Linked DNA regions of Neurospora crassa OR74A. The protein of the gene in region 2 interacts with the protein of the main gene of each other region in a pairwise test. Links are inferred from orthologs where the notes say so. Each region holds a gene or a part of one and is shown on either strand. Other genes may lie near its edges.

What was found.
Region 1: the proteins of NCU02498 (region 2) and NCU03186 interact in binary tests that used the Schizosaccharomyces pombe proteins (3 or more experiments, as listed by UniProt). The link is inferred for Neurospora crassa OR74A from reciprocal best matches to the Schizosaccharomyces pombe genes cul3 and btb3.

The regions. Positions count from the first base shown.
Region 1 is NC_026501.1:4,843,926-4,848,444, forward strand, and holds NCU03186 (ankyrin repeat and BTB/POZ domain-containing protein), read right to left. Parts: upstream 2,917-4,519; 5' UTR 2,691-2,916; coding exon 2,469-2,690; intron 2,402-2,468; coding exon 2,353-2,401; intron 2,294-2,352; coding exon 516-2,293; 3' UTR 173-515; downstream 1-172. Other genes in the region: nim-1 (G2-specific protein kinase nimA), read left to right, coding at 3,503-3,542, 3,650-4,108, 4,161-4,519. UniProt on the Schizosaccharomyces pombe protein: Probable substrate-specific adapter of an E3 ubiquitin-protein ligase complex which mediates the ubiquitination and subsequent proteasomal degradation of target proteins.
Region 2 is NC_026501.1:2,526,947-2,531,257, forward strand, and holds the start of NCU02498 (Cullin-3), read right to left. Parts: upstream 2,873-4,311; 5' UTR 2,367-2,872; coding exon 2,328-2,366; intron 2,258-2,327; coding exon 1-2,257. Other genes in the region: NCU02499 (DNL zinc finger domain-containing protein), read left to right, coding at 3,481-4,197. UniProt on the Schizosaccharomyces pombe protein: Probable core component of multiple cullin-RING-based BC3B (BTB-CUL3-BTB) E3 ubiquitin-protein ligase complexes which mediate the ubiquitination and subsequent proteasomal degradation of target proteins.

The DNA.
Region 1 (4,519 bases), about 2.3 Mb from region 2:
GATAATATAATTTCTTCGCGACCGCTTGCCAAAAGAAAGAAGCATGACCGATGAAAAGCAAAGAATATTGCTTAATCGATATCGGGATATAAGCAAGGGGTAGAGCAATTGGAGACAACGTTCGTCGTTGGGGCGGAAGCCCGTATCAAGTATTGAGAGTATGGCGTAAAGGAAGGAAGGCAATATTTGCGATACTGGTGCCACAGATATCTCAACACTGTCAACACATTTTGTGGGATCCTTCCCTCTTTCTCTGACCAAAGACACGTGGCTGCGCTTACAATGCAAGACGATGATGTCGCTGGCCTACCGATTTTTGCTCTGGAAGGAGAAAGCGTTGCGAGAAAAACCGAGTTCAGTTTTTGGCGCTGTGACGGGGGAGAGAGACACCTGAAACAAACGACCAACTTCTATGCGAACCGTATTCATACAAAACCACCAGTGTAGCCAGTCGTGACATATGTAACATCTAATGCCTTGATGCAATATCTTTTCCTGTAAACGCTCGTAGCCCTTCAAGCACCCAGTTTCAGACGGTCAAGCATCTTATCGATCTTTTCCAGCAAGATCTGGTAGTTGACCGCATCCGACACAAACTCATCCTCAACCAACTTCCCGTCTAATGTTCGTAGACCACCACCTCCCTCTTCCTCACCATCGCGTTCAGTGCATTTCCCCACTTCCTCTCCTCCCACTTCCCTCTGACCGTCAGAAGGCTGTTCGAGACGGATTTCCCCAGCCTCAGCCTCTAATGCCAGGTCTTCTACCTGAGCAGCATCAATCTCGCCCTCCTCATTCAACATCTCTTCAATGCCATCACCCTCGAACCGGAACCGGAATCGCTCGCCCAGGTAATACCGAATATCGTCCAGCAACTCAATAGTGTCCGTCTCCTCACGCCTCTTGAGCCGGGACGCACTTTCCTGAATCAACTCGGCGAACTCCTCTTCGTCGATGTAGTCCTCCAATCGACTGGCCAGGTACCGGGCGGCGAAATCTTCCAGACGCTGGACTTTAAGATCCCAGGCGGCGTGAATGACATCGTAGACGTTAATGGGTTCCACTTCAACTGACTGTCCATCCGCTTCCGGCGATGATCCAGTTGGTGTTTGTTGCTGCCCGCTCGAAGGTGTCGAAGTCGACGTTGCGAGTGGTGACGATTGTAGCTCTTCCGCGGCCCCACCATGGGTGCGGTCTACCAGCGCGTTGCTGGTACCGCTGCCTAGAGTGCTAATTGCTACCGCGGCTTTGGTCTTGAGCTTATCCAACAGTAACATGTCCGCCGCGTAGAGAAGATCTAGAGCCAGCTCGAGCGGGCAGTCAGACCTCTCGGTGTAGAGGAATGTTAGGATGATCTCCAGAACTTCGGGAAGACAGTCGACCTTGATGACGTGGAGATGCTCGGTTTCCTTGGCTTCCATGAACTCGGAGGAGAACATGGTTTCAAAATAGGGACTGCGGATGAGAAAGGCTTTGTGCACCGGGAAGAGGACTGAGCGTTTGGGCTTTTTCGCACCATTCGAAGCCCCGTTTGTTGAGTTCAACGCCGCTGTCGGGCCAATGGGAATACCATTACGAGATATGAGCGCCTCTTCCGCGGGCTCAGCGATATCTTCTCCTTCACCCTCGTCGAACTCGTCCGCACGCAACAAACAGTTTGCGGAAATAGCGTTGTCTCGGGGCCATTTCACGTCCCCCACCCGACAAGTGTCAACTGTGAACTTGTGCTTCAGGACCGTGTCTCGGAAGTAAGCAGTTACTTGAGCCTGAGCACGCTGGACCTCATCTTGATGCCTCTGGCGCGCCAAGCGTCGGTCGGTCGTTGAAAGAACAGCTTCCCACAGGTGGGCAATTTCGAGCTGCTTGCAGAGCTTGTCGATCCCCTTGAAAACCTCTTCCTCAGTGGCTGTACTCCGAGGTCCAACAAGGTCGCGTGGAAGTTCGCCAAGATAGAGATATCTTATGACGACCCGAAAAGCCTCGACAGGAATGGAGTGGGATAGTTTCCAAGTGCTAGTTTCAGGAGCGTCGGCGAATTTTCTTCGGAAATAGGGCGACCTGGAAGAGAGGATGAATTTATGTAGATGGAACGATTCAGAAGCTGTGAGGAGACTGATGTCTGTCGTCTTCGGAATCTCGCGGACAAGCAACGAGGTGATATGGGATGACCAAGCCTGTAAAGGATCCGCAGTCTTGGTGTAATCATAGGAGAGTAGCAAATTCCGAATCTTGTTATTCAGAGCGTTGTAGACCGCGCGCTCTCGCTCGAATGAATCGGGGTCGGCCAGAGCACCTGGGTTTGCGTGTAAGTGACTGGATGGTGGAGAGTTGGCGCTTGGCGATAGGACATACCGGATTCTAACAGGAGTTGCACCAGTTCATAATGCCCGCACAGACTTGCCTTTTGAAATATCAGTGCTACTGCAAAATTCAAGAGGCATGAGGTGGCTTTCGAGAACGTCACATACGATAATGAGTGGAGTATAGTCATACTTGTCTTTGCCATTGATGTTGACGCCACCTGATATCAACTCCTGACAGTGCTTCAGATCGCCTCGACGGCACGCGTGTATGAATTCGTGAAACTCTGGGGAATCATCAAACGGATGCTCATTGCGGAGGACGCCTTGGCGAATCAATTGTTCATCGTCCTTGAGCTTGAGCTCGAGCTGGTCTTTGCGAAGTACCATCTTTTCTGTGCGTATATTTTCTTTGGTTTTGCCAAGTTTTGAATGCTACAAGGAAGGGGTATCGTTATCAAGGAACTAGGAACAGACCGAGAAGTTTATATTCAGAGGAGAATGCACTGAAGGAGGGTGGCGGCACCGCAAATGGGTATCTCGGGTGCCGGAGATATGTAAGCAGACGGACGACCAACGCAATCGGGTCGGCTACGGGGCGCTAGCACGGACCAAGGAGAGAGCCGATGCGGGAAGTCGTGACGGATCGCCACCGGATGGTCGACGGGACAGCCGATGATTTGCGGCAACGGTACACATCTTATCTTATCGTAGATTATCAGTGTTATCGATACGGCTTGCTGGCAGTGGGGCTGGCGGCTTACAGGTATTAATGTTTAGAGTGATACGCTTGCCTCACCGCCCCGCGCCAGTTGCTGGGCAACGCGATGTTGACTGGTAGTACTGCGTAGGTCTCCCTTTGACAGGTTCGCAGGCGTCCTCAATCGGGCTGCCCATCCGAAGCGTCCACGACCAGCCGGGCCGCCCAACAAGACCCGGAACCTAACTTCGATTGGTTACAGGCAATCGTGCGCATCCTTTCCCGGCACTAGGATACACCCATCGCAATCACCATAACCATCGCATTCATCACATCCATCGCATACAACGCTGCTATTGCATTACCGGCAGCTCTTAGACGACAGGGCCTATCCTTCAACACGGTACACTTCCCGAAACGATTGTCTTATGGATCAGGCAGCATACTCTTCCCAATTCATGATAGCCTGTCAGAGGTCCCGTTGATCTAGTCAACCGCCAACATGTCGGAGAGCGACAAGTACGAGCTTCTAGAAAAGATCGGTATGCGAAAACACCCTCCCCCAACCATCGAACGGCGCTCCACATGCACATGCACAAAGGGTAGCAGTGACATTGATGGCTGACAACGACTTGCTTGACAACCACAGGCCATGGCTCGTTTGGCATCATCCGAAAGGTGCGGCGCAAAGCCGACGGCATGATCCTCTGCCGCAAGGAGATCAGTTACCTCAAGATGTCGCAAAAAGAGCGTGAACAGTTGCACGCCGAGTTCTCGATCCTCTCGACCCTACGTCACCCCAATATCGTCGGATACTACCACCGCGAACATCTCAAAGCTACCCAAGACCTACATCTCTACATGGAATACTGTGGCAATGGCGACCTGGGCCGTGTTATCCGCAACCTTATTAAGAATAACCAGTACGCGGAGGAATCGTTCGTCTGGAGCATCTTTTCCCAGCTTGTCACCGCTTTGTACCGCTGCCACTACGGCGTCGACCCTCCAGAAGTCGGCAAGACTGTCCTTGGTTTGGGCTCAACAGCAAGGCCAAAACCTCCTTCGGGTGGCATGACTATTCTGCACCGCGATCTCAAGCCAGAGAACGGTAGGTGACCCTGTGATACGTATGTGGACTGGTCTAACGTGCTGCCTCGTAGTGTTCCTGGGCGAAGACAACTCGGTAAAGCTTGGTGACTTTGGACTCTCCAAGGTCATGCAGTCGCACGACTTTGCCTCGACCTACGTTGGCACCCCCTTCTATATGTCGCCGGAAATCTGCGCGGCAGAGAAATACACGTTAAAGTCGGATATTTGGTCATTAGGATGCATCATATACGAGCTTTGCGCCCGAGAGCCCCCATTCAACGCCAAGACGCATTACCAGCTGGTTCAGAAAATCAAGGAGGGTAAGATTGCGCCGTTACCTTCCGTTTACTCGGGAGAACTCTTTGCAACAATCAAGGATTGCCTGCGCGTGAACCCCGATCGAAGGCCAGATACAGCCACACTTTTGAAC
Region 2 (4,311 bases):
CATTCTTCCTTTCCGTCTCCTTTCGCTCCTCGTCTCCCTCGACCTTGGAAATGCTGCTTATAACGGGAGCTTTGATCCTGATAGCCTTACTCACAAACTGTGCGTTGTAAGAGAACTTGTCGGTATTTTTGACGTTCTTTGTGGCCGGTTCCTTTAGCAGTACCCTGCACTTGGGAACACTCGAAAGTGAAGCCAGTGTCCGCATGAGCTCTGGTGCCGGAATGTTCGTCTTGGCTTGGATCTCGTCGAAGCTCAAACTTTCGCCGTCCACGAGATCGTTGAACAGCATAAGCACAATCATGCCATACGTCGAGACGTTTAGCTCATACCGCCTTTCCTTGCTCAAAGGTCCAGTCTCCTTGCCCGGAACCTTGGGGAACACACACTTGATGTCCGCATTGCCCGCCGAGCTAACCCATGTAAGAACACGGCCGCTCCTGTCCTTCAGGTAGTACTTGTAAAAGCTCTCCTGGAGCCGCTTGATTTCGGGTGGATAGAAGCAATCCAGTTTCGCCCCTTCTCCCTTCGACGTACCACCACCCATTACCTCGGGTGGCCAGTTGTTGGTGGTCAGGACGTTGATGTTGAGGTCAACCATCTTATAGTCGGCATCACCTAAACTGGCGATATGGTCACGGTAGTTGTCGGTTAGGTCCTTGGACAACTCCATGTCCTTGAACATGCCTTCAAACTTGGATGTGAAATGATTGCCCATTTCTGACTTCATACGGGATACCATCTCCTTCTCGGTATGGATTTCAGACTTCCCATGCAGTAGCCGCTTGGCCAGATGTTTCTGGTAATACCTTTCGAACATGTCTCGATCTGTAAGATATCTGAGAAGAACGATGGCTTTATCCAAGACAGCGTCTACTTCGGCTTCCGTCTTGGTCTTGATGCCGCGTTTGAGGTTGTCATCAATGAATAGAGAAACATATTCAGAACTGCGATTGAAAGAGTTGATGAAGTCGGAGAAGCTTCGTGTGATAGCGGACTGTAGCAGGAGATCATCGCAGAAGCAATCGGACAATATTCTGTCGAACTTGTCCTTAAGCTGCAATACGTCGTCCACCCACTTGATAGCGGCAGCGGTTTGCTGCTGAGCCGGATTCAAGGTCTGGGGTTTGGCCTTCTCTGCCGCTTCGCCAGCATCCTCACCATCCCCAGCAGCTGCACCAGCGACGGAAAAGTCTGTGTTCTTGAGCGCCTTCTCAATCTCCAGTCCAAGCTCCCGCACTCTACGTTGTAGAATAACCTTTAGCGCCGATTTCGTACTGTCCACTCTGGATATGAGTTGGTACAGGATCGAAAGGTCGTCCAAGCGATCATTGTCGATCATGGGCTTCAGGCCGCTCCCCTCCATGGCCAGAAAGACATCGAGCTTTGCCTCGATGAGCTCCTTCTCCACAACACTCGCGATTTTGTCGGTCGTCATAATTGATAGGGTAGTACCACATCGCTCGCGCTCCTCGTTTAGTCGCCGTTGGGCATGGCGGAGCCACGTGCTGCAATTTGCTTCCTGGACCAGCTTCTCACACTCTTTACGGTAAAACTCGGTGCTTGCCTCGAGATACCGAGGTTCGAAAAGGGTTAGGTAAAGCCGATGGTTTTCGATCTCGTCATCTGTCTCGTATAAGCTCTCAAGCATCGCAGTTATTTTGCGCACTAGGTTTCGGTTGATGATATCGCCGTCGCGCTCCATGTTGATCAGGTCCAATATGACGGCGCAGAGAATGTCAAAGACGACAAAGTCTTGCTCGATGTCTTCTGCGGCGGCGCCAATGTGGCTCCGGAGGACATTGTTCCGGAAGAGACCAATTGTAACGGCAAACAGAGAGGGCTGCTTCGTCTCTAGGGTATAGACACGGTCGAGATACATGAGCACATCCGCAATCATGTTCATAGACCTATTGTGATCCGTCCATGAGTCTCGTATTCCGCGCAGGAACTTTTCGCCCATCTCCCTGCGCTCATGTGAACTCGACCCCGGGTGCTGAAGCAGCGATATGTTGATCAGGTTCTTGGTGATCAGGGCGGCGATGTTCGGCATGATGTGATCTCGGAACCACTCCTGCTCAAAGTCTCTAACCCTCTCGTAGAGTAGGGCGCCCTTCTTCCGAAGCACAATCTTGTATGAAGCTCGGTATAGTTGTTCGAAGGACAGACGGCCGGCGTTCTGTAGGTGAATATCGGTCATGGCGTCGCGCAAAAGGGCCCAGCATGGCTCGAACTCGCTCTGGTCTCGATTCGTTATCGGCTAACATATCATTAGTTTAACTGCATGGTGAAAAACGCCCAAGCCGCGTAAGTAAACCCAATACACACACCTTCCTTATGGGCCTGATCTTGTTGGTTCTCGATGCCATGATTGCGACGTTTGTGCTCCGTTCCTAAACCGCAAGGGTTTTTGTGAAGGGTGAAGTGGAAGTCCTGCAGGTGTGACCCCTCCAATAGTAGCTATAGTGTCAAGCGACCGCAGTCGGTAACCAGTAGGGGTATCGACGGTGTGTGCGTGAAGAAAAGGTCTGAATAGAAGACGCGTAATAGCTAAAGGGCTATGGTGATTGTGGCCAATGAGTCGTTATTGATGGAGAGTCACAAAGGAAGTTGTCAGGTCGAGCTGGGCCAGGGCGCGCGGGACGAGCTCTCAAAGGGTTGGAATGGGTTCTGCGATTCGCAGCAGATGTACACGATCCCCAGACCGAAGAAAGAAAACGTTTGGTGGTCCGCGAATCGTAAAGTATATGAACCCCCGGGGCTGAAAAAAAAAGACCAAATGGAGAAGTCAAGAGAAAGTGAAAACCCGAGGCATGTTAATTGCCAGAAGTGGCAAACGTGAGAGACGTGGTCGAGGATGAAGTTTAGTAATGGAAGGGTACCTAAACGGTATTTGACAAACGGGAAGTTCAGGCACGCGGTAGATAGGTGTGGATCTCCAGGTACTAGGTACTTTCAACAGAGCTTAAGAGATCGAAGCAGTATCATAGTAGTAGTGTGTTGTAAGTATTATTACACGTTACGTACCAGCTCCAACGCCGGGCACCCAGTGTTGTTTACAGACTCAACAGAAACTCCGTTAATCTGGGTGAGTGTCGAGGGCAGCTCAAGATGAACACCAGATAGAGAGTACTTGGCCTTGCCACTTTACTGGAATTCATCATCGACAGCATCGCCGGAAAGATGCGAACTGTTACAGGTGGAGAGGCGCACTGCAAGGGAAGTAGAGGCAAGTGGATTGGATATTCCGCAGGGATCGTTATCGATAAGAAACATTGCGACAGGGTACCTACCTATGCGGGCGGGCGGGTCGCGATGCTGCTGGACTTCTACGGCGCAATGACGAAACGACCGGATTCTATCCGAATCTATCGCATAATATCTTTTTTTTTGCGCAGAATATCATAATTTTTGGCCGTGATTCAACCAATTCCCAAACGGGATCCCATACCGACCCAACATTCCCATCTAATACCTCCAGCCATGGCCTCCAAACGAGCAGCGGCATCAACACTGTCCTGCATTACCCGACTCGGCTCGGCGCCGGCGCAATCGTTGAAAACCACAACCACAACGTCGCGCTTCCTCAACTACTTCGTTCACTCCTACAGCTCTCAGTGCCAGCGGCCAGTACCACTGTCACCGCAACAGCAAACACAACAACGAGGAGATATCAACTACACACCAATCCGACAAAAACACACCATCCCTCGTCCTCGAAGCCAGCCCTCATCCTCCCCCGAACCTCAATCCCCTCCCTCCGACCAACAACAACCCGCACAACCCAAGCGTGACACGTCCCAAGTCCCCCAGTACGAGCTCACTTTCACCTGCATCCCCTGCGATCACCGATCCAAGCACAAGGTCTCCAAACAGGGTTACCACCACGGGTCCGTGTTGATCTCGTGCCCGAACTGCCGTAACCGACACGTCATCAGCGACCACCTCAAGCTCTTCGGAGATCGGAAAGTGACGGTCGAGGATTTGTTGAAAGAAAAAGGGATGATGGTCAAGAGGGGGACTCTGGGCGAGGATGGGGATGTGGAGTTTTGGGAGGATGGGACAAGTACCATGAGGGAGCCGGAGCCGGAGCCGGCGCCGGAGAGGCCGAAGAAGGAGGTGGATAATAGTCCGCCGGGGTCAACTTTCAAGAATGTGAGGCCTGGAGAGGGGAAGAAGGATGGGGATGAGAGCAATTGAATGTTGGATGGATAAAAGGGGGAGTGGCCATCACTGGAAATGCCTTGGCTGGAGAAAGAAGGGGCCGTGACGAGCGGGTGTGACTCTTTGGGTGTTCTGGCTTTTGGGAGTCGC